4 linked regions of the Schizosaccharomyces pombe genome follow. Changing the gene in region 1 together with any one later gene gives a genetic interaction. Each region holds a gene or a part of one and is shown in the gene's direction. Other genes may lie near its edges.

Evidence for each region.
Region 2: mutations in cmk1 (region 1) and SPOM_SPBC1778.03C together harm fitness less than expected from each alone (positive genetic interaction), as found in Schizosaccharomyces pombe (one large-scale study listed by BioGRID).
Region 3: mutations in cmk1 (region 1) and ace2 together harm fitness less than expected from each alone (positive genetic interaction), as found in Schizosaccharomyces pombe (one large-scale study listed by BioGRID).
Region 4: mutations in cmk1 (region 1) and cbh1 together harm fitness more than expected from each alone (negative genetic interaction), as found in Schizosaccharomyces pombe (one large-scale study listed by BioGRID).

Annotation. Positions count from the first base shown.
Region 1 is NC_003424.3:1,736,021-1,742,421, reverse strand, and holds cmk1 (calcium/calmodulin-dependent protein kinase Cmk1), read left to right. Parts: upstream 1-3,121; 5' UTR 3,122-3,334; coding exon 3,335-3,498; exon of another isoform or gene 3,499-3,545; coding exon 3,546-3,600; exon of another isoform or gene 3,601-3,667; coding exon 3,668-3,758; exon of another isoform or gene 3,759-3,830; coding exon 3,831-4,161; intron 4,162-4,223; coding exon 4,224-4,590; 3' UTR 4,591-4,969; downstream 4,970-6,401. Other genes in the region: potassium ion/proton antiporter Kha1, read left to right, coding at 1-1,806; mdv1 (CCR4-Not complex subunit Caf4/Mdv1), read right to left, coding at 5,474-6,401. UniProt on the Schizosaccharomyces pombe protein: Important in cell cycle regulation.
Region 2 is NC_003423.3:3,100,143-3,106,144, reverse strand, and holds SPOM_SPBC1778.03C (NADH pyrophosphatase), read left to right. Parts: upstream 1-3,781; 5' UTR 3,782-3,979; coding exon 3,980-4,011; intron 4,012-4,191; coding exon 4,192-5,290; 3' UTR 5,291-5,502; downstream 5,503-6,002. Other genes in the region: guanyl-nucleotide exchange factor Lam2, read left to right, coding at 426-493, 615-1,029; Spo4-Spo6 kinase complex regulatory subunit Spo6, read right to left, coding at 1,294-1,398, 1,445-2,166, 2,213-2,345, 2,397-2,861; telomere-binding protein Rap1, read right to left, coding at 5,569-6,002. UniProt on the Schizosaccharomyces pombe protein: mRNA decapping enzyme that specifically removes the nicotinamide adenine dinucleotide (NAD) cap from a subset of mRNAs by hydrolyzing the diphosphate linkage to produce nicotinamide mononucleotide (NMN) and 5' monophosphate mRNA.
Region 3 is NC_003424.3:3,237,980-3,244,287, reverse strand, and holds ace2 (DNA-binding transcription factor Ace2), read left to right. Parts: upstream 1-3,134; 5' UTR 3,135-3,320; coding exon 3,321-4,922; 3' UTR 4,923-5,056; downstream 5,057-6,308. Other genes in the region: RNA-binding protein Nop9, read left to right, coding at 1-1,030; SPOM_SPAC6G9.01C (uncharacterized protein), read left to right, coding at 1,956-2,136, 2,535-2,633, 2,718-2,725; ubi3 (ubiquitin-40S ribosomal protein S31 fusion protein), read left to right, coding at 5,926-6,308. UniProt on the Schizosaccharomyces pombe protein: Regulates the transcription of genes required for cell separation.
Region 4 is NC_003424.3:4,457,021-4,463,514, reverse strand, and holds cbh1 (CENP-B protein 1), read left to right. Parts: upstream 1-2,636; 5' UTR 2,637-2,745; coding exon 2,746-4,290; 3' UTR 4,291-4,595; downstream 4,596-6,494. Other genes in the region: abc1 (ABC transmembrane transporter Abc1/Ybt1), read left to right, coding at 1-436; pyridoxal reductase Plr1, read right to left, coding at 730-1,731. UniProt on the Schizosaccharomyces pombe protein: Binds to centromeric K-type repeat DNA and ARS3002 DNA. The CBH-binding consensus sequence is Py-Pu-A-T-A-T-Py-Pu-T-A.

The DNA of each region.
Region 1 (6,401 bases):
CATGAAAACGATTTAACCGTTAAGATCACAGAAAAGATAGAAGATTTAGTAAATTGTTTGTTTCTACCACTTTACTTTGCTAGTTCAGGATTGAAGACAAATATTTCTACGCTTAACACTGGGAAAATATGGGGATACACGATTGGAACAATATGTGTTGCCATAGCTTCTAAAATGGGATCTAGTATGCTTGCTGCTCGGATTCTCAAAATGCCATGGTCGGATTCACTAGTCGTTGGATCGTTAATGTCATGTAAGGGCCTTGTTGAATTGATTGTTTTGAACATCGGTCTCTCAACTGGAATATTGAATGAAACAATTTTCTCCATGTTTGTGTTTATGGCTGTTATAACGACATTTGTCACCACCCCTATGACTAAATTCTTTCTGCGGTTCACTAAAAGTGAACATGATGACAATTCTATTGAAAGTTCCGAAGAGCTTGTGCAGTATCTTCCAGAATTGCCGACTCGACTCTCCTTTTTAATCAATCATCCATTGGATGCTTCTGCTGCTATGATATTTATACAACATATTTATGAGAACCGTGATAAAGTGAGTGGCTGTCTACATCTGCCTCAAATAATTATTCATAGTATTTGGACACTTTTTGTTGATTCTCGTACTTCAAATCTATTGAGGGCCTCACAGGTCGATAATAAGGTTGAAAATGAAGCACTAATGGGATTGTTTGAAACGTTTGTAAAAATAAAAAAATTTGAGTACGAAAGCAATGCCTTGCTAGTGAGTGGAACTGGTTATTACAATGTGGTTCTTGAGACGTTGAAGAAGTCTTCTTCAAACATTTTGATCATGCCCTATTTGAAGGATTATAAAACAATTGAGAATGAGAGCTCTTCTTCTCCTCTGTCTTTGAGTTCCATCCGCTTAGCTTTGGGTGATTCTTTTAAATCTTTGGATGAGTTGATTCCTTTAATAAAGATGGCCCGGATCCCAGTTGGAGTATTTTTCACACGTAATCCTCACAATTTATCAGTGAAAAAAATTAGGCCTATCATACGTAGTACTGAGTATGGTTCACCGAAGAATGATTTTGAACAATTAGAAAAGGACAAGAAGTCCTTTGATCAGGTTGAGATTAGTGTGAAAGAAAAAGGCTCTACATATGAAAGAAGCAAGGTTGTAATTCTCATATATTTGGGTACTGAAAATGATTTAATTGCATTGGAGCTTTTACTTAAGTTTTTGTATGAAGAGACGAGTATAGCCTATATTTACACATATGATGAATTCTATAAAGATGATTATGCGACGTCATTGCCTAATGTCGTTTACACAAGTGAAGTGCTGTTAAGCAAGCATAATGACTCAGCTTTTAAGGTATGGCCGAAACTTCGAAAAAACATTCGAAAAATAACTAAGCCAAACGGATTTACAACAGACCAGCATTCTCAGACCTTTATTCCTTCTCAAACACATACGAAACTCGATTTGAGATTATCTGATGTAACAGATAGTGTTCGGTCGAGGATTAATGTAGTAAAATTTGGAAATTTAAACTCACTTTTGAGTTGTCTTCATGAACTTATTCAACCTGCAACCTTGACCCCTTCTTTCGAGACAGAAAAGAGTATAACCATGTTTTTAGGCTGTAGGGATAAACAAGCTGTGAGCGAAAAACTTGAGGTGGCTGCACTGTCGGAGATGAAGAAATTGGGTTACATTGAGTCTAGCTCAGAATTTGGTATGCTTGCAGGTTTAATTCCGTTAGTGCTGTTGAGCAATTTTCCATTAATAGATTTCTTTTTAGGGAAGGCACCTACAAAGATGGTTCAAGGTTATTGATTAATTTCAGGTTTTTATTGCATCCATCTCATAATTTATTTTTAATTAATGATTTAAATGGTTTTCATAATTTATTTGGAATCCAAAGGATCGACTATATTATTTTCAATGTTAGAATTAATGCATTCATCTCTATTCGTTATTCGCAATGTAGAAAACTTGTTTTATACCTTAATAAGAAGAAGTTACTTAGGGTTCTTCTAGTTTTTGGCTATATCGCGATTTATCAAAAAGTGTTATTTAAGAGTTGAATAGTTTACATTGTAGACTCATCTTCCTTCAAAAACCCATGTGAGTTTAAACCCTTATTGGTTTCGTCTGTTTAAACCGATACTTTGAATTTATATCATAGCAAGGGTAAAGTACTGTAGAACAAATGGAGTCAAGCATGCATGCGCATTTTTTACTATTTACTTCTTCAACATTATCTCCAATACATTTCGACTAACTATCATACAAGAAGCATATGAGAAATTAACATACCATACTCACTGCTATTGTAAAATGTATGGTATTCCTTTCAGAAGGTAGTTCGGTTCTTTCTCAAATAACTAAATACCTCTTCCAAGATGGAAAAGATTATAAAAGTAATCATTCAAAATCGATTTTATTAGCTCAATTTACACTCAGTCTGTTTTTCACAATTTTTGTTACAGTATGAATCTTTGTTACGTGGTTACCTTTTCGTATTCTGTTCTATGTTGTTAATACGCTTACTGTATTTAAACAAACTAAAATGCATGGGATAGCGCATTATTACGGTATACGTTAGTGACCAATATTCGCCATGATGGCTTGTTATATCTACTTAACTCTCATGAGCTGGTAATATCAGCGAAATTTCAAGCAGTTCGCGTTTTGCCAATTGCTCATAAAACTGCGATTTTTTAAGGATTGTATAATTAAATTCAATTCTTTAAATAATTGTGTTGCATTGTTACAGTGTTTGGTGGTTTCAATACGCTAATTGTAATTTTGATCTTTCTGATCTTGTTTTCTCTTAGAAGAGGAAAATAGGTACGGAAATTACTGAACCGATTGGGAATTACCAGGATTTATGACTATACTGCAGACTACTGGTTTTGCAATTGCAAATCAGTTGGACGGTATTTATCAGACGCTGGTTTTCTTGTTATCTTCATCAATACTATTCGGGTACATTCAATATCAATATCCTGTTAAATCCGAGGATTTCAATATACCTTTTCCAAATTTTTCCATATTTACAAGTTGAGGCTAAGCACTTATTGTCATAAGTTGGTGGACAGTCATTGCGCTGCTTAGATCATTCTGTTATTGAACCACCGTTTAACTCAACAGCCTGCTTCGCGCAAATAATATTTTCTTTATTGTTTCTACGGGATTTTTTTCATTTACATACCTTTACATTTTTGGTTTCATAAAAGAATTCTGTAGTACAGAATTGTTTATGGCACCATCTAACAATACAATAATTTACATTAAGAGAAACCTTTTACGTTTACCTTCGTTGGCATTGGAATAATTCATCTATTGATTCTTTACAGCTATGCAGCAAACATACAAACCAAACACCTCGGCCTTGAAAGACGGTGCTCCAAAGGCTACGGTGGATCAGAAACAACTATTACCTTGCAAATATCGTGTCGGTCGGGTTTTGGGAGGCGGAACATATGCGACGGTTCGTGAAGCCGTTCATATCGAAACTAACAAGTAAGTATATTTTAAATTCGAGTTGTTTGCTGACCAAATTTTCATAGAATGTATGCGGCTAAGATTATGAATAAAAAGATGATGGAGAAGAAACAAGACTTTGTAAGTAAAGACTTAAGTACTTACAGCATCCTTATTTACGTTTACTAACATGTTTTTGGTGGTATAGGTGAAGAATGAAATTGCAATTCTAAAACGTGTTTCTTATGAACATCCTAATATCTTACACTTGGTTGATTTTTTTGAAACTGTGAATAATCGTATGTCTCCGATTTCGATTTGATGAATCAAATGTTATTGTGATGTGTTTTGTTCACTAACCCTTGAAACAGTGTACTTAATCACTGAACTGGCCACCGGTGGTGAACTTTTTGATAGAATATGTGCCAAAGGTTCATTTTATGAGGCCGATGCTGCTGCTTTAATGCGTACTACCACATCAGCAGTTAAGTACTTGCATGACAATGGAATTGTACATCGAGATTTGAAGCCAGAAAATTTACTTTATCGCTCTAAAGATCCGAATTCAGATTTGTTAATTGCCGATTTTGGATTGTCCCACTTTTATGAGGATTCTCAATACTATATGCTCATGACGGCATGTGGGACACCAGAGTACATGGCACCCGAAGTCTTTCGTCGAACCGGATATGGAAAACCTGTGTAAGTTGATCAACTACCATTTTAATTCAGAAGTTATGTATCTTGACTAATACTGTTTATAGAGATATGTGGGCTATTGGCGTTATAACTTATTTTTTACTCAGTGGTTATACTCCATTTGCTCGACCTTCTCAGGTTGAAGTTATAGAAGCAATTTTAGCTAACGAGTACACTTTTAACGATCCTTGCTGGTCTGGCATTTCAGAAACGGCCAAGGACTTTATTAAAAAATGTTTGGAAAACGACCCTTCGAAACGTTTAACTGCTGCTGATGCGTTGAAGCACCCCTTCCTGTCTGAAAAGCGTCCCGCAACCTCCAATTTGCTTCCAAACGTCCGGGAAAATTTCAATGCAAGAAAAACGTTCCGTACTGCCTATAACGCTGTACGTGCTTTCAACACTTGGAAAAAGCTTGAGAATAAGCATTAATTATACACATCTTTTCTTATAACTTTCTTATTTTATCTTGTTATGACTTATGACTTCTTTATTATCTTTTGCCCTCAGTACATACTTTTTTGGTATTAACACTCTTACATGTTAAATATATTCTTTGTGATTTGGAATGCTTGGACCTATCATGTTCTCTACTTAGTTTTTAAAATAGCCTCATACAAAATGCTAAAAGTTATGTCGATGTTTTAAAAAGTAACGCTACCAGTTTTCTGACATTGTTAGACTGTTGACGACAGATGAACGCAGTTGTTTAATTCTCTATATATATTGCAGATGTAAAATTTTGAAATTTTAGCATTTATGACTATTTATGCTTCAAAAATAAAATGACCATTCAGTTAATCTGAAATATAAAAAGAGCTTGGTTATTTCCATATTTTACTCACTGTGTGAGTTCAAATTGCTAATTTCAAAAAGATTCTTCAATACTTATTATGTGTAGTTGACATTAAACACGCTGAGCGTGTTTTGTAAACTGGATCAACAAAATGAAATACAACATCTCAGATCAGAATGAGGTTGCGTACTTCATACTAGTAAAACCAAAAAAATGTAAACTAGAAAAGATTTTTATTTACTAAATTTTAAACCTACAGTATAAGAAGCAGAAGGGAGGTGGTGATCAAACAATTTGCTTTGAGAATTTTTTTAAATATTTTGAACAAAATTAACATCACAGTTTTTTATTCGCAATGTCTCGTTCCTTTTTATTTGTCCATAAATAAATAAAAAAACCAAACAGAAGTTAATACCCATTAACCAAAGCATAAAGACATAAAATTTTAAAATTAACGTTATCCAGATTCAACACAATAACGAGAGTATAATAAATAAAGGTGTGGATAAAAAATACAAATTAAGCAGAAAAAACGCTAACAGATCCATCAGACTTTCCATCCACCAAAAAGCGATCTTTATATTGAACAGAAGTAGGTACTGAGTTAGGTTCGGCTGCTATGGAATCAGAGTGAGAAGGAATTGAACAAATCCAGTTCCGATTAGATACAGTATCAAATATCCTAACATTTGGTTCATCAGATGCTACAGCAAGACGACCTTGATACAGTCTTAAGGAATTCACTTTTTTCTCCATAGGTATAATATTAATTGGCGAGCCACTTCGTAAATCCCATATTCTAACAGAATTGTCATAGCTTCCGGAATACAAATGGTTGGAATCGAATTGCAAAGAAGAAATAGGAGCTGTGTGCCCAATGAAACTTCTCACAGGAAGACCGATTCGCAAATCCCAGATGCGAATAAGTCCATCGACAGTCCCACTAGCCACAGCAGCATCTAAGCAGTCTAAAGCTCTGATGAAAGGTTCTTGTTTGTAAGTGTCACTGACCAAAATTTGACTAGTAGATGTATCATGAGTTTCCGCCCACACAAAGTCCAAAGTTTGAATACAACGCCCCGTAACGATATCCCACTGTCGAACAGTTTTATCATCGGCACCGGTTATAAGCACATCATCACTAGATAATGCTAATGCAGTGACAGGGGCAGTGTGAGATGTTAAAACATTTGTGGCATTGTCAACAGGTTGATCGGGAGGAGAATTAAGGCTCTCTTCAACAGGATTATCCTTATGAAGTACATCATTATCTAAATTCCATAACCGCACGGTTGTATCCATAGAGCCAGTAGCAATAAAGGAGTCTTGAATCGCCAGACAAGAAACATAATCAGAATGACCTTTCAATGAACCCAGGTATACAACACCCGCCATATCCCAAACTTTCACAGTTTTGTCAGTCGAGGCCGTAGCTAAAGTTCCAAAA
Region 2 (6,002 bases), on another chromosome or scaffold:
TTGCGTATCACTATATGTCATATGTTGGAATACTAGCTAAGATCCGTTTATTGATAATCACGGGTAACTATCCTTCTATATACATAGATACCCGTTGATAACAACTATTTAGAAATATTATAAATAGCGTTACAACTGAACCTCGTTCCTCAGTTCAGTTATGAGCTATATTAGTGATAGGTAACATTATAACCCAGTTAATACAATACCTATACTCAGTTGCTACTTATACAACCTGTGTATTGTAATATAATAGACCACAAGGAAAACTCACCGCAGTTCTACGTATCCTTAAATCAGATACCAAACTGCGTAGCTTACAAACTACTTATAACCACCATTCAAAACAGGTTAAATCGTTATTGCCGATTGGACTTTAAAATACATATTGCTACCTTTACTGCTATCTAAGTTTAAATTCGAAGATGATTAAGCCAAAGAAGTTGTCGTCGTTGATGAAACAGGCAGTTGAGGAAACTGTACCGTCTATCATGTAAGCATTTAGTGAATTTGAAGTTCATTCTTACTTCAAATCCAGTGGGTACACCTGTACTATTTTGGAGCTTAGATATATAAGTTTATTGTTGAAATATTCTGAGGTATTAACAAACTAGGGTTTTTACCACTACTGGCTCGCTGCTAGCTTATGTTTCTTTTGAAGATCCTAAAGATGGTTTAAAACGTCTGGATTTAGCTAAAAGGGTTAGATCTATTGCGGCTTTAGCAGGCAACATGTATTCACTTTATACTGCAACCAACCCTAGCCCTTTGGTCGCGGAGTCTACAGACGACGTGATTGCTCATCAAAGAGATGTACTTTTTGAAACAATAATTGAGTTTGAAAGGGGGAAATTATTAATAGCCGCCATTTCAATTGATGGGGCTGAAGATAAACTTTACTCCAAAGACCCATTATTATTAGGGATTGTTGGAACAGAAAACGCAAAGGAAGGAATGATGCAAATCAAATCTGAACTTTTGAAAGAGTGTATCACCAATGAGCTTTCCACGCTTGGAAAACCAGTCTAACTTATTTTAAATCTATTTTGATTTAAACTCGATAATGTTTGGAGCTTTACTTGCATTGTTTGTTACAATCATAGGCTTAAGCCTGACCTTGGTTTAAGAAAAGAATGCTACAACACATCATTATATTGTTAATTTTCTCTTCCCTTTTAGCAGATTATTTTGAATTTTTCATTTGGACAAAGGATATATTGATTTTACGGTTTATTTGAATGTTTGAACTTGCTTTCTGGAATTTTTGAGACATCCTTAAAACTTGAACTAACGTTAATTTGTCCGAATTGGGCGTCGGATTAGCAAAAACAAATCATCTAAACCCTGGAAATTTTCATCTTTCTCTGCAAATCTTCTATGATGTTTTCCGCCCAAATGCTATCGATGTGTTAGTGCTGTTTTTGCTATGATTGGTTTAACTTACCCTTTCCAAGTCCTTGTATCTCTCACAGCAGTTTTCACAATATCCTGATTTTGTTTCGATTTTCACCTTCTTGTGAGCTAGAGGATCTGCATCGAAGGCATTAGGTGGTTGTCGAGGACTTTGGTTAGCCAAGGTGTTTTGTTTGTTTATTAAACGAGGTTCAAGAAGGTTAAGTGGAGACATTGCGGCGCGTTTCTCTACCGGTAAGAGGTTTTCTGGCTTTGGAAACTCTGTCGGCATTTGTTTTGCACCATCAACTGCTGATTCTGTGATATTATAGTCCCCCATGATTTGACGCACCAACACACTCGCTGAATTTTTAACAACGTTATTTTGGTTAGTTTGATTAGTGCAACTTAAGAGCTGTTTTCTGATTTCGTGAGCTGGATGGTTATGTTTTGTGATTTTTAACTCCCTTCTTCTACCAGTATTAAATGGACATCTTCCTTGTGCGGTTATAGCAAGACTTGGCCATAAGATCTCTCCAGAATCCAATGTTTTCTCCCATTCTCGTACTGCAATTGGCTTATAGTATTGTGATAAATCTCTAATGCAGAGGAAGTATTCACGAAAGTACTCGACGTTTTTGCTTGGCACGTAAAAGTCTTTGTCTGATGTACCATACACTTTTTCACCGTCTAGGAGAGATTGCAAGCACGAAGCTGAGGTATTAACCAGGCTATCAGAGTTGAGTAATGTAAAGAGGATTCTGTTCAATAGTTCTAAGAAAGTTAGCGAAGGTTACACTGATATATTAAGAAGACTTACTGTCCAGGAGCCAAATTTTCATATTGGCAGTTTTCGAAAGGTAAAGTACATCATTCGGCTGGCACATTTCTGGGTCGGTAGTCCTGGTGGTAATGAAATGTGTAACTTCAAAAGTAAATAATGTTGCTACTTTCTATATATGTGTTAGTTTTGATCTGCGCAAGTTCTTGCATGAACTACTTACGGCTCCAAGATTATTAATCTTTTGCGTAACACGACGCTTGATTTCCTCATCAACGTTGTCAAAGTAAAATATAAAGTTGGGAAACGCCAATCGATAATCTCTTTGCCAGTAACGAAGTTTGGAAACTCGAATGCTGGTTCTTGGTATATCCTTGTTTCGCGTTAGGGAAGGTTTTACACAGTAGTTTGAAAAAGCAGTGGGTGGGAGAGCCATCTTTGCTGTGGCTTTAGCAGAGTCAAAGGCATTTTGATGAGGCATGTGCGTTTGTTGTTGAGGGTACCAGTCGGAGCATGAAGTTGCGCAAGCTGCAGTTTGACACAGTTCTTTGTCCGAAGTTTCTGTTTTATAGCTAAGAGGATTTTGAATATCTCTCTTTACTTCTTCGTTTATATTTTGTATACTGGGATTTTGGTCGACTAGAGGAGATCGAACAAACGGCTGAGACTTCACTGAATAGAAGTCCATACTCTTCCGGATTGACTCGGAAAGATTTTTAGGAAGAAGAAGTATGTATATATATTCCTTGGGAGGCTGATGAATTCACCTGTTGGTTAATCCTACTTATGTCTGGCTTTAATATTCAGCAATGGCCTCGGTAAGCAAGATGCAGGTTTTCCTCTAGAAGTAAAAAGATAAACCTATCTTTTTTTCTGTGGAAGTTTGGAGGAGTATCCTGGATATATATACAATTTGATTTTGTTTGTTTACTCAAATATTTTCTCATATTCACCTAGTATTGTTTGTAAACAAAAGCCTCGCCTCGCGTATTAAGCCAGTAAATTAAACGCGCGACACGTCGCGTTGCGTATCACATTCATACTAAATAAATAAGCTACTTTGGCTCCATTTGATAGTTTTGCTGGGTTCCTTTGTAAAAATTTTTTTAGTATTCATATGATTAGAAAATATATATTTACTTGATTCAAGCTTGTAAAATAAACATAGACCCAATTTTAAATAAATAGGTACCTAAAAGTCTAGGTAACATTGTTACACTGACACGTGAGAACTTTGTAGTTAATTAATCGTCAACATAACGAAAACAACTCAAAGCAATTCCCGTAACTGTCCATTTAGGAATTAACCAAAAAAACAAACAAACAAAATCTATTTTTATTCCAATGATACTTTTATGACTCACCAAGGCGTTAATAATTGCGAAAACACATACCAATATGTTTACAATTATTTTTTTAACGAAATTCGTTAAATACTTCATGGCATTTGAGAAGTTGTATGGCAATCGTATTTAACGGAGACTTTTTCATATTCAGTATCCCTTTTCATTTGGAACTTTAAGGTTTTCCCAGCTGAGAGTTCGTTTACATCATTTTATTAGATTTTTACTTGCAACTTGGGTTCGACTTTTAGTTCACTCATAAATTGTACCATTACCATTACGCTGGTGCATAAATAACCCTCCTTCTGGTCCTCTCTGTTCTTCATTTCCATCTTTCATTTTCTATTCTGCGTATTTTAACAGTTAAACAATTGTAGAATTTATTCGAGAGATTTGCAAAATTCTGTTTTAATAATTGGTTAGGTTTAATATTCTTTTCGTCTTTCAGAAATCAAGTTTAAGTATGCAGGGTTTCAAAATAGCTCGACATTTTGAGTAAGTAGTTAATTGTTAGTTCTATTTAAAGCTACTTCAAACTTGATAATTCATATCATCTGTTTTGCATGCTCATGGAACGTACCGCTCAACCCTTGCTAATACATGTGCAATGTAACACATAAAATCAATTTTTGATATAATAATCTTAAAAAAATGAGTTTTCTAACGTTTTTCAAGGCTTCCGACTGCCCCTTCTCAGTTCTTCGCAGGAAGCTCATTAAATAGGCTTTCGTTTCTTAGGTCTAATCGAGAATTTTTAAATAAAGCCTTTTATGATCATACCACTCGCTTTCTTCCTTTTTGTGACTTAAATCCGGCTCTACTCGTAAAGGACGATAAATTGGTCACTCTTTCATATCCTCAGATATCCAAATATTTCACGTTCTCCCCTTTTGAGCACACTGATAAACAAATTGCTGAACGATTTTCCAAAGGAGAAAGTTTACCTGTCCTTGTCTACATGGGCAACGAAGAAAGAAATGGACCAACAGATAATTGGAGTCAACACAACGTTTTTGCCATTGACATTACTGGCATCGATGAACTTCAGCAATCGATACGAGACAATGGAGGTACTTTCGTTAATCTTCGCTCTATCTTCACCGAACAATATCAATTGAGCGCATCGGATTCTGGTGCTTGTGCTTTTGCACGCTCTATTCTTGACTGGATTTCAAGGTACAGATTTTGCCCGGGTTGTGGAAAACGCAACATACCTACTATGGGCGGTACAAAATTGGTCTGCAGTGACGTTTTATTGAACGACGACTCAAACTGTCCTTCAAAGAAGGGTATTAATAATTACCAGTATCCTCGGACAGATCCATGCGTAATAATGGTTATATTGTCTCATGATATGCAACACATTTTACTTGGAAGAGCTTTGCGCCATCCGAAAGGACTGTATGCATGTCTGGCAGGCTTTCTGGAGCCAGGGGAAAGCTTGGAAGAGGCCGTTGTCCGTGAAACCTATGAAGAATCTGGAGTTGACGTAGAAAAGGTTTTATATTATGCTAGTCAACCCTGGCCTTTTCCTCAAAGTTTAATGTTGGCTTGTTTTGGAATTGCCCGAAAAAATGCTAAAATCCAGAGAGATAAAGACTTAGAATTAGAGGATGTGCGTTTTTTTTCCCGAGAGGAAGTTCTTCGTTCTTTGGAATGGGATGCCAAGGATGGACCTGCTCCAATTTTATTTCCCCCTAAACTATCCATCGCTAGAAATTTGATCCAAGCATTTGCATATGATGATTGGACAAATTCACAAGTTAAAATGTAAAGGAAGTTATAAAAATGGAAGTTTAGCTACTTTTCCAAAGATAATAAGTGAATTTTCTAAAAAGGTTGATTTACTCTGCTACATCAAAGCAAATATAATCGGCTCATCAGAATTGAAATATTCACACCTACTAAATCCAGAAACAAAAAGAATTTTGTTAAGTTCAATATAAAATATTTATATAATAAAATCATGAATTATGCATAAAAAGATTCGTAATATTGTACAAGTTTAGGTCTCTTTAGAGAAATAGAATTTGGGCAGAGATGCTCGGCAATTTAAGAAGTTTGTTTTGAAAGTAGTTTAGCAATGGCAATTCGTACTCTTCCACCCGTAGATTCCATAGCTTCAAGGAATTGTTGTTCTGTTGAATTTGTGTACCTTAAAATATTGTCGATCGCTTCATCAACCTCACGGTGATTTACTGACGACCTTAAAATAGAAACTTCATTTTGTAATTCATGCATTGCTAAGTTAATAAATTTTCCTTTCTCTTCACTGGGTACATGACCTGCAGGTAATGTAGTTACTTTTTCATTATTATCTGACGGTATGATTATAGTCGGACCGGTATGAGCTTCTTCGTTAACCATTCTGTATTTTTTCTGCTTTTTGGTAACCGGTTGCTGCATGTTCTCTTCCACTTTCTTATGAGAAGCTGCATTTCCTTCTAACGAAGTGTGAGCGACTTTTGTGGCACCAAAGCTTTCTG
Region 3 (6,308 bases), 1.5 Mb from region 1:
AAAAGAATTACCGTTTATGGAAACTTTGTTGAAGGACGAAACTGGCTCGCGTATTCTGGAGGTCATCGTTGAAAACATGTCAGCCTCTCATCTACTCAGATTTTATGCCGTCTTTGAAGGACGTTTTTATCGGCTTTGTGTTCATCCTATAGCCAATTTTATAATGCAACGTTACATAAGAAGGTTGGGAAGGAAGGAGATTGGTTCTGTCATTGATGAATTAAAGAAGAATACAGACAACATCATTAGGAAGTCATTTCTTCCAGTGTTAAGGACATTACTTGAGAAGAGTAACCATTTACATTGTTATCAAGATGACATATTTTCAATGATTCAGACAAGCGTAACAAATAGTGGAAAGGATGCCAACATTATTCCATGCTTGCTCCGATCGAAGCATAAACGTGATAAAGCCAACCCAGAAAACAAAGAGCGTAAACTTGTTAATAATTTACTGGGTGCTCAACTGTTAGAAGAAATGCTTCACTGTGAGAAACAACATATTCAGTTATTATTAGATAGCGTTTTAGATCTCTCAAAAGAGCAGATTTTGGAATATTGTCTGGAAACAGTATCCTCTCACTTGATAGAAGGAATTCTTGATTTATCAGACTTAAACCCGGTATTTCTTAAAAAATTTCTCAATATCCTTTCCGGATCATTTGCTACATTAGCTGTTTCTGCTCCTGGTTCGCATATTGTAGATAAAGCGTGGAAGGCCACAAGGGCATTGCCGCTTTATCGTACAAGAATTGTTCGTGAGTTGGCTGAAGGTGGTGACGACGTCAAATTTGATTTCTATGGCAAAAAAGTTTGCTCAAACTGGAAGGTCGAGCTTTTTCGTCGAGCTCCTGATGAATGGTATCGTTTCATGAAACAGGATGAACCATCTAAGCGTGTTCATGAACGTGCACGCCAGTATGGTCGTATTGTTTCTGGCAGTTCAGCCAATACTCAGCCTTTGGGGGAGAAGCGCAGCACTGAAAATGATGAAGAGCTTGAGTCCGGTCCTAAAAGAGTGAAAGTCTGAAGGAGAAAAGGTTTCCATTGGTTAAATTGAAATGCACGGCATTTTTACGTCTCGCCAATTTAAGCATGGCATTTTGTTGGTCAAAAAAAAGTTATGTTTTTAATTTAGGTAATATAGGTATTTAATTTTGTTGCGGTTTGCTATGTATAGAGGCGCTTTTGCAGAGTAAGGAAGTAAACTTTGTAAAAGGAATTGTATTTCTAATTATGAATTGATCAACTGAAGAAGAGGTTTCGAATTTTTTGAATTGTTCTACCACTAATAATTTGTGTTTTGTATATTTGTATTCAAATGTTTTGCCTTATTTCTCTAAGGTGGTTTCTAGGCTGAAAAAGAATTGACAGAGGTTTTGAGCTGATTTTCATTGTCAAATAGTATTCACTTTATTTTTATCTTATGCTTAATTACTAAAGTATTTCGTTTATTAAGCAATGAGATTTTGCATTTGTTAATTTGATACAGCAATAATTCGCTTCTTAAATGAAGACAAAAAGTGTTAATTTATGGTATTAGGATAGAGTTGACCTAAATATGCTTTTATAAAGAAAGCTTGGCCAAAGAATTGTCTACATTTTATTGCCGTTTCGAAATACCGATGACAGAGGTGATACAGCTTCTAAACAAAATTAAACAATTTTAAACATAATAAAGAACCAAAGGAAAAAAAAGGAATCGATCAATCTCATGCCTTAATGCTGGTACAAGTTTCTTCTGAAGAATCATTCTTATAAATATTACAAATTCTTTACCGTAATACGAGAGAATACGTTATGCAGATTTAAGCATTTTAGAGAATTCTTATTTTATGAAGCACGGTACCGCAAAAGAATTTCTAGCAAGTTTGCAAGCTACAACAAACTGTCTCTCTACTCAATTATACAATTGCCATTGACTTGGCAAACTCCTCTCTACGAGTATTTAAAAGATGGAAATCGACGACATTTTTGCTTCTAAAAAGGCAAACCCTGCAAATGAAAAGTCAAATGACTCAAAGTCGGAGGCGAAAGCCCCTAAGAAAGGAGCCAAGACAAAATCTACTCCAAGTCGTCCAAAACCTACTAATAACCAAGACGATTTATTTTTAGATCCAAAGGGAGCCTCAGGAAGTAAGACACTTTTTGCCGTTTGATAGTTCATCCTTACATACGTTCTCGCTACTTGGTTAATGATTGCATTCGTTCATGTTTGGCATCCGCGTTGTTTGTCAATTCTTTGACCTCAAATTCATATTTATTGTCTAAAAGATTGAGAAACTTCGAACTGTGCTATATACTTATTTATTTATTATATACTGCTAGAGCTAGATTACGTTTTTCTAGGGAGATACATTTCACAATGATGTTTAGTGTTGGTGGAGACTCCAAATCATTAAGCTCTATTGTGTGGTATTGAACCTTATTCGCTATTCTGTTTACGGGAATGTTTGCCGAACGATGCAATACTTACCTAGCAACGGCACTTTTCTCCTTATCATCAGTAATTGTATTAACGTTTTGTGTTTTAGGAAAGCGTACCGAGGAAGGGTTTCTTGTATATGACGAGGAGGAATTAAACATTGGCCAAGGTGGAGGTACACCGGATTGCCCTTTTGATTGTCAGTGTTGTAAGTAACTTATTCATTGCATTTAAAAACTTTTCCATGGCATTTTTTCTCTTGCTAGCTCTATACTAATACTAATACCTTAAGGTTTTTGATCTCAACGTCGTTGTCGTTTTTTCAGGTTGGTTACCGTTTTTTTTTGGCTTGTCATACTTAATCTATGTTTTCTAATATCATCCATGATCCAGTTGTTGAAGCGTAGACATTTTCATAGCCGTGATTATCCTGTTTATTAGTGGTAGTGTCTTTCAATCAAACCTTTTACTGGTTTAATTCAAAAAATAGTTGATTTGTCCCTTTGGCAACAAAAGGTAAATAAACAATCCCTGGGTCTGTGTTTACACTTGTATTGCGTTGTTGTGATATGGTTCGGTAATCCATGCAATGTAAACAAATAGTGACTTGTTTTGCGGTAAAGTGAAGCATAAAATTCAACAATTGTCGTCATAGCAACGGAGTAGCTATTTGATATAAACAAATAGCCAGCGCACCAAACATTGCTGTAACAAACAAAAAAAAATCGAAGAGTGATTAGTTCAATCATCTACTGGGTTAGACTGGCTTTGAGCCACACTTTCATCTCACTTCAAGTTATCAAGCACTCTTTTCAAGAGTCATTTCTCTCATCGTTCTCTCCTTGATTTCTCTACGCATTGCACTAGATACTCGCTATCCTAAGTAAACAAGACAATGTCGCTTTCATATTTATCATCTTCTTCGCAAAAGTCGTTTGAATCATTTCGACAAGAAGAGAGTCCAGCTTGTAATCATTCGTACCAAAGGGATTATGAAACTTTTGGCGATAGCAAGCATACTTCTTTTTCCTCCTTCGCTCCCTTTGAAAATGAGGTGTCTTTAAATCAAGCTGTTATCCCTTCACCGCCTTCTCATCTTCAGAACTTTCAAGATCAGTTTGACTATAGTTCTGTTCTAAAAACACCGTTTAACCCTTTGTTGGAAGCGAATTCTGCATACTTTTTATCGAACCAAATATCGCTCCCCGACTCTCACTCGTATGCATCCTCCTTTGATGCTTCCTTATCACCCCCTTCCTCGCCTTTAACTTGCGTATCACAAATCCATACCGAGCAAAATTTTAATAACAATGACGCATTTTCCTTGACCAACTCTCAACAGGCCTTTTCCGAAATTGGTTATGATGCATCAAATTGGATTGATGAGCTGGACTCTCAACAACAAGTCCTTTCGTTTCCTGAGTTTGACATACCAGAAATAAAGACGGAAACTTGCTCCAACAAAGATCACCTCGAAAATTTCGACTACCTTTCCTCAAGTATACCTGAAACCTCGGGTCCTGCCTCTTCCGTTCTTCCCAGCTCTTCGCAATTGGAATCATTTAATGAGTTTATGTTCCTCCCATCCTCTCCCCCTGGATTAGATGAGATAAACGGTGCGCCTTCATTTGAAGAATTGAACTTTCAAATATCCCAACCAAGTCCGGCACATCCTGTAGACTTATCGAGTCCAGAGACTGCACCTAATATCTCCCCTGTATCCCCATTTGCCCAACTTGTAAAGCTAGAGCCCACTTCGCCTCAAAAGCCCTCCTTTGCTCTAGATTCTTCGTTTTCCCATTTGGATGTATGCAGGCATACTGACAACCAGAAAGCGTTTGCAAAGTTATCATCACCTGCTGAATACGTTTCTGAATTTGAAAAATTCTCATCCGTTTGCGATCATGGACTTGACATATCGAACGCAAATATCAACAACACTTTGACACAGCAGTTTGCATTAAGTGCACCTTATGAATCTTGCATAGTTACCAAGAAACCTGAACCTTGTATCACTGTCAAGGAAGAAGAACAATTAGCTCCAAAAATTGAATCTGCTGATTTATCAATTACTCCTCAAGTCACCGAGCATGATTCCAAACCTCCGGTCAGAATTTCATACGATCATAGATGCAAAACTCGCAAGCAATCAACTAGGATTTGTAGAATTCCTCCGGAGACAATGGCTAGCTTATATTGCGGCCCTGAAGCAGATGGAAAGTACGTCTGTTTGTACAACGGGTGCAATAAACGTATTGCTCGCAAATATAATGTTGAATCGCATATTCAAACACATCTGAGCGACCGTCCGTATCGCTGTGACTTATGCAAAGCTGGCTTTGTTCGTCACCACGATCTTAAGCGTCATCTGAGGATTCACGAAAATGGCAGGCCATATGTATGTGAATGCTTAAAGAGATTTAACCGACTTGATGCCTTAAATCGGCATAAGCAGAGAAATATATGTGTTGGCGGCGTAGATCGCAGACAGCACTAATGATGACAGCTGTACAACTTGCATCGCATTGCATTATAATGAGTTATGTTTGGTTTTTTTTTGGGATTTTTTAATTTTACTAATATTATTGTTTTTAATTTGCTTTTATATAAATTCAAATTCAAGCATCGTACATGAACTAATGCTGTGACAATTTTGATAATTTATCAACTTGTATCTGTCTTTTGTATATTTATTCATCACCCTAGTATTGTGTATAACTCTGCATCATCTAAAATCTACAGATTAATCTTTGTGAAATGGAAATACAACTATGAAGTTGTTCGTATCGTTGAACGGCTGAAATGGTAAAACTAGTTTCCCCAAACCTGACAAACAACTTGGATACATGAGTAAGAATTAGTGTTTGCTTTCACTCGCACCGATGTTTAGTCAACATATGTTTAAGTTGGTATTTCTAGGGAAAACTTGTATTTAATTACTATAGTATGCGAAGTATTTCATTGGAAAACAGTGGTTGTAGTATGCTGCCAAGCAAGCATTTATTATGATAATAATAATTCAACAAATTAATCACTATGACTTAAACAGAGAAACCAATGATTGTTTTAACTATTATTGCTGGTCATTGGAGGAAATTTTGTCGGCAAGAGAAAAGATAATTCATTTCTATTTGCAAAGAACCAAAAAATACGAAAACTCGTCGTAGCTTATGCAAACACAAAATCACAGGTTTACAAGCCTTTACTACACTAAATCACCATATATGAATCATTCAATAGGATATAATTGACATCAATTAGTGACAAACTGTCGATATTAATACAAGGGAATCAGGATTTTCATTTCAGCATTACGATTTTAAAAATTGTGAGAAATGTTAAATTGTGTTATATAATTAACGCAAACGTTAATTCTCAGTACGAGAAACTTGCGTTACACCCTAACCTACGTGAGTTAAAACCAGTCACGCATCCATATATCACAATGCAACATCAATATTTTCCTCCATCCGCGAGGAAGAGGCAATACTTTGCTGACGATGCAGATCTTTGTAAAAACCCTTACGGGTAAGACCATTACCCTTGAGGTTGAATCCTCTGACACTATTGACAATGTCAAGAGCAAAATCCAAGATAAGGAAGGAATTCCTCCTGATCAACAACGTTTGATCTTTGCTGGCAAGCAACTCGAGGACGGACGTACTTTGTCTGATTATAACATCCAAAAGGAGTCCACTCTTCACCTCGTTTTGCGTCTTCGTGGTGGTGGTAAGAAGCGTAAAAAGAAGACTTACACTACTCCCAAGAAGATCAAGCACAAGCACAAGAAGGTTGAGCTCGCCGTCCTCAAATACTACAAGGTTGAGGATGATGGAAGCGTTAAGCGTCTTCGTCGTGAGTGTCCCAACTGTGGTGCGTCCAC
Region 4 (6,494 bases), 2.7 Mb from region 1:
CGGAGAACTAAATGAAATACTTAAGACTGCTTCCTGTGAATCTTTAGTGCAAGCTTCAAACAAAAATTCTCTTGACGCTTTTGCGATACATCTTGACACACCGGTTGATTCAGGAGGTGTCAATTTTTCTTCCGGCCAAAGGCAAATTCTAGCCCTTGCACGGGCGTTAGTCCGAAAATCTCGTATTGTTATTTTGGATGAGAGCACAGCGTCGGTAGATGATACTACTGATCGAAGAATTCAGCAAATGCTTCGTGCAGCATTTAAACATGCTACCGTTTTGTGCATTGCCCATCGAATTAAAACAATTGTAGATTATGATAAAGTCTTAGTATTGGATTCTGGTAAAACGGTGGAATTCGGATCCCCCAAGTCACTATATACTCAACGACGGGCGTTTTGGAAAATGTGCAAGGAAAGTCATATTAGTCTTTGAATATTTTTTGCTGACTTTCAATACATTCCATTTGTAGAGCAGCTTTAAACTGATCGTGAGCACCCATCATTTTCTTTTTTTCTTTTTTTTTTAGAGCATACTAGAAACATTTAAACGAGATCGAGCAGAAATCGGTAATAACAAGCCAAACTCTATAAACAAATGATTTAACATTTTCGCTGTAAATAAATTGTCATTACTGAATACCTAAGTAAGGCTAGCATATAATAAGTTTATATTTAATATGCATTTCAAAACTGAAATGCGAAAGAGTATCGACTAACTTCAGCACTTTAAACGGAAAGAGTGCCCGCAAGCTGTTCATTATAACGTAACCCGTAGATTGGGTATTTACTCAAGACCTCTTTGGCCTCTTTAAATTGTTCAGGAGACAAAGATTTATTCAGTGCATTGAGATTGCTCTTTGTACGAGAAACAGATGTGGAGCCAGGAATAGGAATGACCAGACCGTTTCCAGACGCCATTATAAAAAGAAGTGAAAACTCGGGCATAGTCATACCAAACTTTTTAGCAAGTTGCTCGACAGCTTGGAGGAATGGAAGATTTTTAGCAAAAACATCAGGGCTAAATCTGTCCAAATATTCTAAGAATGGGAAAGATTTAGCAAATTCTTTAAGGTCTTCGACAGTCTTAATGCGACCAGTCAAAAGGCCACGACAGAAAGGAGAGTATGCAATAATAGGGATAGATAACTTCCTACAAATATCCATAATACCGTTTGTCTCGATATCACGAGAAAACAAGGAGTATTCGACTTCGACTGCAGCAATGGGGACCACAGCGTGAGCACGTTTGATAGTTTCAGCAGAAACTTCGCTAAGGCCGACACATGAAATCTTTCCAGAGTCCACAAACCCCTTCAATGTCTTCATGGTTGTCTCAATGGGAACATTTGGGTCGACTCGAGCACATTGGAAGAGATCTAGCTTTTTGGTCCCACGTAAATGAGCTATCACATTTTCAACACTCTTTGACACGAAGTCCGGATTTCCATCAGGAACTAGTGTTTTAAAATCCAAACCACCTTTGACAGATAAAAACACCTTATTAGCGTTTTCGGGATATTTTTCAAAATATCTAGCTAATAAATCTAAATTAGAGGTGGGAGGGTCGACACCATAAAATTCACCCGCATCCCAATAATTGGAGCCTTGGGATAAGGCATAATTCATTACTTCAAAGGCTTCTTCATCTGGAGTTTGCTTGGGCTTCCAGGTTAAACCCATAAGACCAAAGCCAATAGGTCCGACTTTAAATCCGCTAACGATAGGCATCTTTTCACAACTTTAATTTAAAAATGCTTAACTCTGTAAATATCAAATGTGTATTCTCAATTTTAAGCGAATAATATTGGAAAAACTAAGCTGCTAGGTATGCAAAGCTTGCTATTTATATGATAACGGTACCGTATGCTGTAAGAATTTCCTAATGGTTCTTTGAGACGATGCTTACTAATTAGTTCTACTGTTAATAATAATGAATCAAACGTAAGTAACACCTACTCTTCGTACCGTAACTAGCTTAAACAGCTTTGTTCTTTATTTTTGGCTTTGCTTTTATAAATTTACTTCTACATTTTTAAACATTGGATCACACGTGTAACATACATTATTGAAATAGACTTGATAGTAAGTATTATGAATTGAACTATGAATGGAAATATTGGAATTAAAAGTAATTACACCAAAACTGAGAACTTACATATTATGTTATTTGAAAATTCGAGAATTTATTAAATGAAAGAGAAGGGAAAATGCTCATGAACTTCAGAATCGCCATTTTTGTTACAATACCAAGGAACATTTATTTATTTACACATTTTTGTTTAATAGTGAGAAGAGGTGTGCTACAGAAATGAAATTTGAGGAAGTATTCAATTAGACTCTCATTTAAAACATATATGAGAATTGATTTTAAACGGTTTCTAACAGCGTTCATGTCGTTCTTTCTCCTATTTTTTGCTCTTGAATTCTCTTTTTCTTACTGACAAAATCGTTAAGATACGCAAATTTGCTATATTAACCTGAACGTCATAATTTGAGCATCTCCAATGGCATTGTTATTACAGATTAACAATAGGTTCGGTATATTGCACTTAGATTATATAGGGTGCAAGGCAGAAGGATGCACTAGTAGTACTCACCTTCTTAAACCCTACAAGGATAGAATTCGTCTTTTCACCGTTATTTCCGATATCTACTACAACATAAAATAATTGTATAAATCCAAGGCTATACTCTTATATCGGTCTGGAAAAGTATCGGCATAGTAAGTATTAAGGAAAATCAATGCCTCCTATACGCCAGGCCGTCTCTTTAGCAGAGAAAAAGGCAATTCGAGATTATTATAACCAATCTGCCCATAGAATTCCTCAAAAGGAAGTGACAGAATGGTTTCGAAAAACGTACAATAAAGATTTATCGCAGTCAACGATTTCCGAAATTCTTTCACCCAAATACAGTTATTTAGATGATGGAAGTGTAAGACTCGGTGATATTAAAAAAATTCGAGCTCCAAAGTTTCCTTTGCTTGACAATGCCGTGTACGAATGGTTGCAACAAAGAGAAGTTGAAGGCCTTCCTATATCAGGGGATATGATCAAACAAGCTGCTACTCGATTTTGGTCGAAAATTCCGGCGTATGCTTCTCTCCCATTACCAGACTTTAGCAATGGTTGGTTGGATAAATTTAGAAGAAGACATTATATCCAGCAAAGTGCGGTAAATCAGGCATTGGAATCCATCAAATTTGAGGTGTTTAGAGAATACCCAGTTCATATTCAAGAGTTTATACGGCCTTATGCCCAAAAAGATATATTTTGCGTTGGAGGGACAAGCCTTTTTTGGAAACTCACTCCTAATAAACAAAACTTGGATTATCAGGAAATCCAGGGAATGAAGCGTGGAAAAGCCAAAGTGTCTTTAATTATGTGTTGCAATGCCGATGGGTCAGAACGACTACCTTTATGGATCGTGGGTTATGCACAAAACCCAAGATCTTTTGAGCAGTGCGGTATTTTCCCTAAAAGTATGAACTTCGAATGGAAGTGGAATGGCCGAGCTTCAATTTCACCAATTATTATGGAGGAATGGCTTCGGTGGTTTGACACACGTATGCAAGGACGCAAGGTCCTATTGATGTTAGAGAGCAATGACACATATCAGTTCGGTGTTGAAAGTGTTCGACGGTTTAAAGGTGGTTTTCAGAACACCTCTGTATTTCGAATTCCAGAAAAAACATTGGACATTAAGTCTCCGTTTGAACAAGGAATAGTCGATACATTTAAAGCGAATTATCGAAGATACTGGTTGCAATACTCCCTTAATCAAATCAACATATTGAGAGATCCTCTAAAAGCCGTTAATGTTTTAAAAGCCATTCGGTGGATGCTTTGGTCTTGGAATTTTGGGGTGAGTGAAAAGACTATTCAAGCATCTTTTCTCCGATCAGGATTATTGGGTCCACATTCCGAGGCCGAAGGACAAGGAATGGAGTCGTATCAAAAGGCCATTATGGAAATTGGTAATCTGATTTCAAGCAAGGGCAGCGAAGCTGTTAAGCAAATTAATGAATACATTAGACCTTCTGAAGAAGATGAAACCAAATTACATCAAGATGCTGTGGATACCGTTGCTGCAGAGTTTCTGGAGGAGAGACGCTTTGAGTCGGATGAGGAAGAAGACGTGGAGCCTCAAATATCAAACGTGGAGGCTGCCATGGCCTTTGAAGTCTTAATAAAATATTTTGAGCAACACGAAAATGGGGATCCCTCGTTTGTTTTAGATTTGTACCGCAGACAAAGAGTGATTGCCCCTAATAATTTAATAGCGTGATCCACTTACGGAAATAAATTGAGAGCGAGTCTTACTAAACCCAATAAGTGCTTCACGTTGGATGATTTCAATCTCCAAAGCAAACAAATTTCCAAAAAAAAAATATAGTGAAACAAAAGTCGACACTCGTACAAAATTACTTTTTTTAATTGAGATTAATGTTTCTGCTTACTTTTGGTTAACTATGGCGGGCGGCTTTGAACCCTTCTCGTTTAATATTCTTTTAAATTCACTTAGTGTGTGTACATATACCTGAACAACAAAACATTTTATAGGATTCTAATGATATTATGAATTATTAATGATTTTTTTTGTATAAACTGTGTCACATTGTGTTTTCCTTTGTTGTATGCAAGACAGAGATATAGAGAAGCAGTGAGAACAATTAATAAATAAAAATCAGTTAGCGCGCAAATGAAAAATAAAGCATTAAGCAATGATGCTTTAATAATTTAATTTAATTTAATTTAATTTAAATGCTATAGATGATGAATGATCATATGGTTTTGTGAGTGAGATGCTGTTTGAGTTGTTGCGCTGGTAAACCACTATTGGAAATGCTAGAAAAATGGGTAGGGGTTTTGATATGACTTTAAGTCCGAATCTGAAAACCGAACCATTAATTTTAATAGCTAGGTAAAAAAGCCACACACAATCAGAGATTTTACCAAAACAAGACATAAAAAAATCACATTATGGATATGAGGCAACTGGAGTGTGGAATTTAAGGAAATATGTTTATATAATTATGAGTTTTCATTGAGCTACAAAACAGAAGATATATTTCATTGAATAATTTCTGTAGTGATGACCCACTTTAAAAAAAAAAAAATTTGAAAGTAGAGTAAACAAAATGGAATATGCCATTTTTAAAATACACACTAGAATGATCCACACTAGCTATGGTGATCTTAAAGTATATATACATATCTTCTTAAATCTTGAAAGTTTTGCTTATCAGATCTTTAACGCGCTCCAGTACGAAAAAATGGCATGCTTAAAACAACAATACAATAATGTGATGAGTAATAATATGGGTTATTAAAAAAGTAAATTGGAGAAACAAAAAAATTAAAACATTGGAAGAGTGTATAGTTCTCACGGTTTTGCGTTTTATGTGTTTGAATTTACAAATTTCAGTGATCTTCGCTATCTTGACAAGTTGCACAATGGAAATTGGCACTGCGACCATGAGTAAAATAGTTTGAATTTCATTTCCAAATTTAGTTGCGATGTTTGCGAACAAATTACTGAGTGATTTGAATGTAGAGCAAAGATGATTAGTTAGAAGAAACAGATAGAGGGAAAAAAGAGAAGAGTTAATAATTGAAATAAAATAAAAATAAAAAAAGGGAAATAAGAAAGCAAAAAAAAAAATTTTATTAGCTCTTGAAAATGTGGATGAAGCACTTCCAAATAGTAAAATTTGATTAGGTAAACAAACCGAAAAGAATAAAATGAATGCCACCGAAAAAAAAAATGTATGCAAAAAAAAGAACAACAAATGGAAACGAAAAAGATTTTCTAAAGCAATATCAAGAAAAATTTTTTAATTCATTCTAGTCTTCCTTAATCAGCGTCGCATTTCGCATATTCAATACTTTCTTTCATTTTCCTTTGTTGCATGCTTTATACCATAGCAGGTTATGCACTAATCACATGGACTATAAACGAAGACAAATGTCCGAAGGTGGTCAAAGTGCGAACCGCTTAACGAACCTTAACACAACAGTGTCAAGAGAAAGCTTCGCATGTTGAAAATTTTAAAAAGACGCAGAAAGGATACTTTTGCAGTAGCAGCAATAGGTCGACCAAAATACTGGCTCATAGAAAGTAGTAGTATTATATTTATGATGCTAAAGAGGTTGCTAATTAGGATGCAAGCGATGGGAATATCAAAGAAATGTAATAAAGAGTAGTAGGGACAAACACTCAAGAAATAGAATTTTATTTTATTTTTTTATATTTTATTTTTCTTTAGTAACAAATGGAACTCTGGTTCGTTAAGTGAAAACAAAAAAAAAAGACACGTTGGCATAAAATCGACTCACATTCATCAATCAAGACCAACTTTGAAACACATTATACTGCTACTACTACTACTACATTACAACCGTTGTGTTTTTGTTTTACAACTACCAATCCAGTCAATCCCCCACATAGACCAAAATCTCCCACACACGTGAACCCCAGTCCAAGTCTTC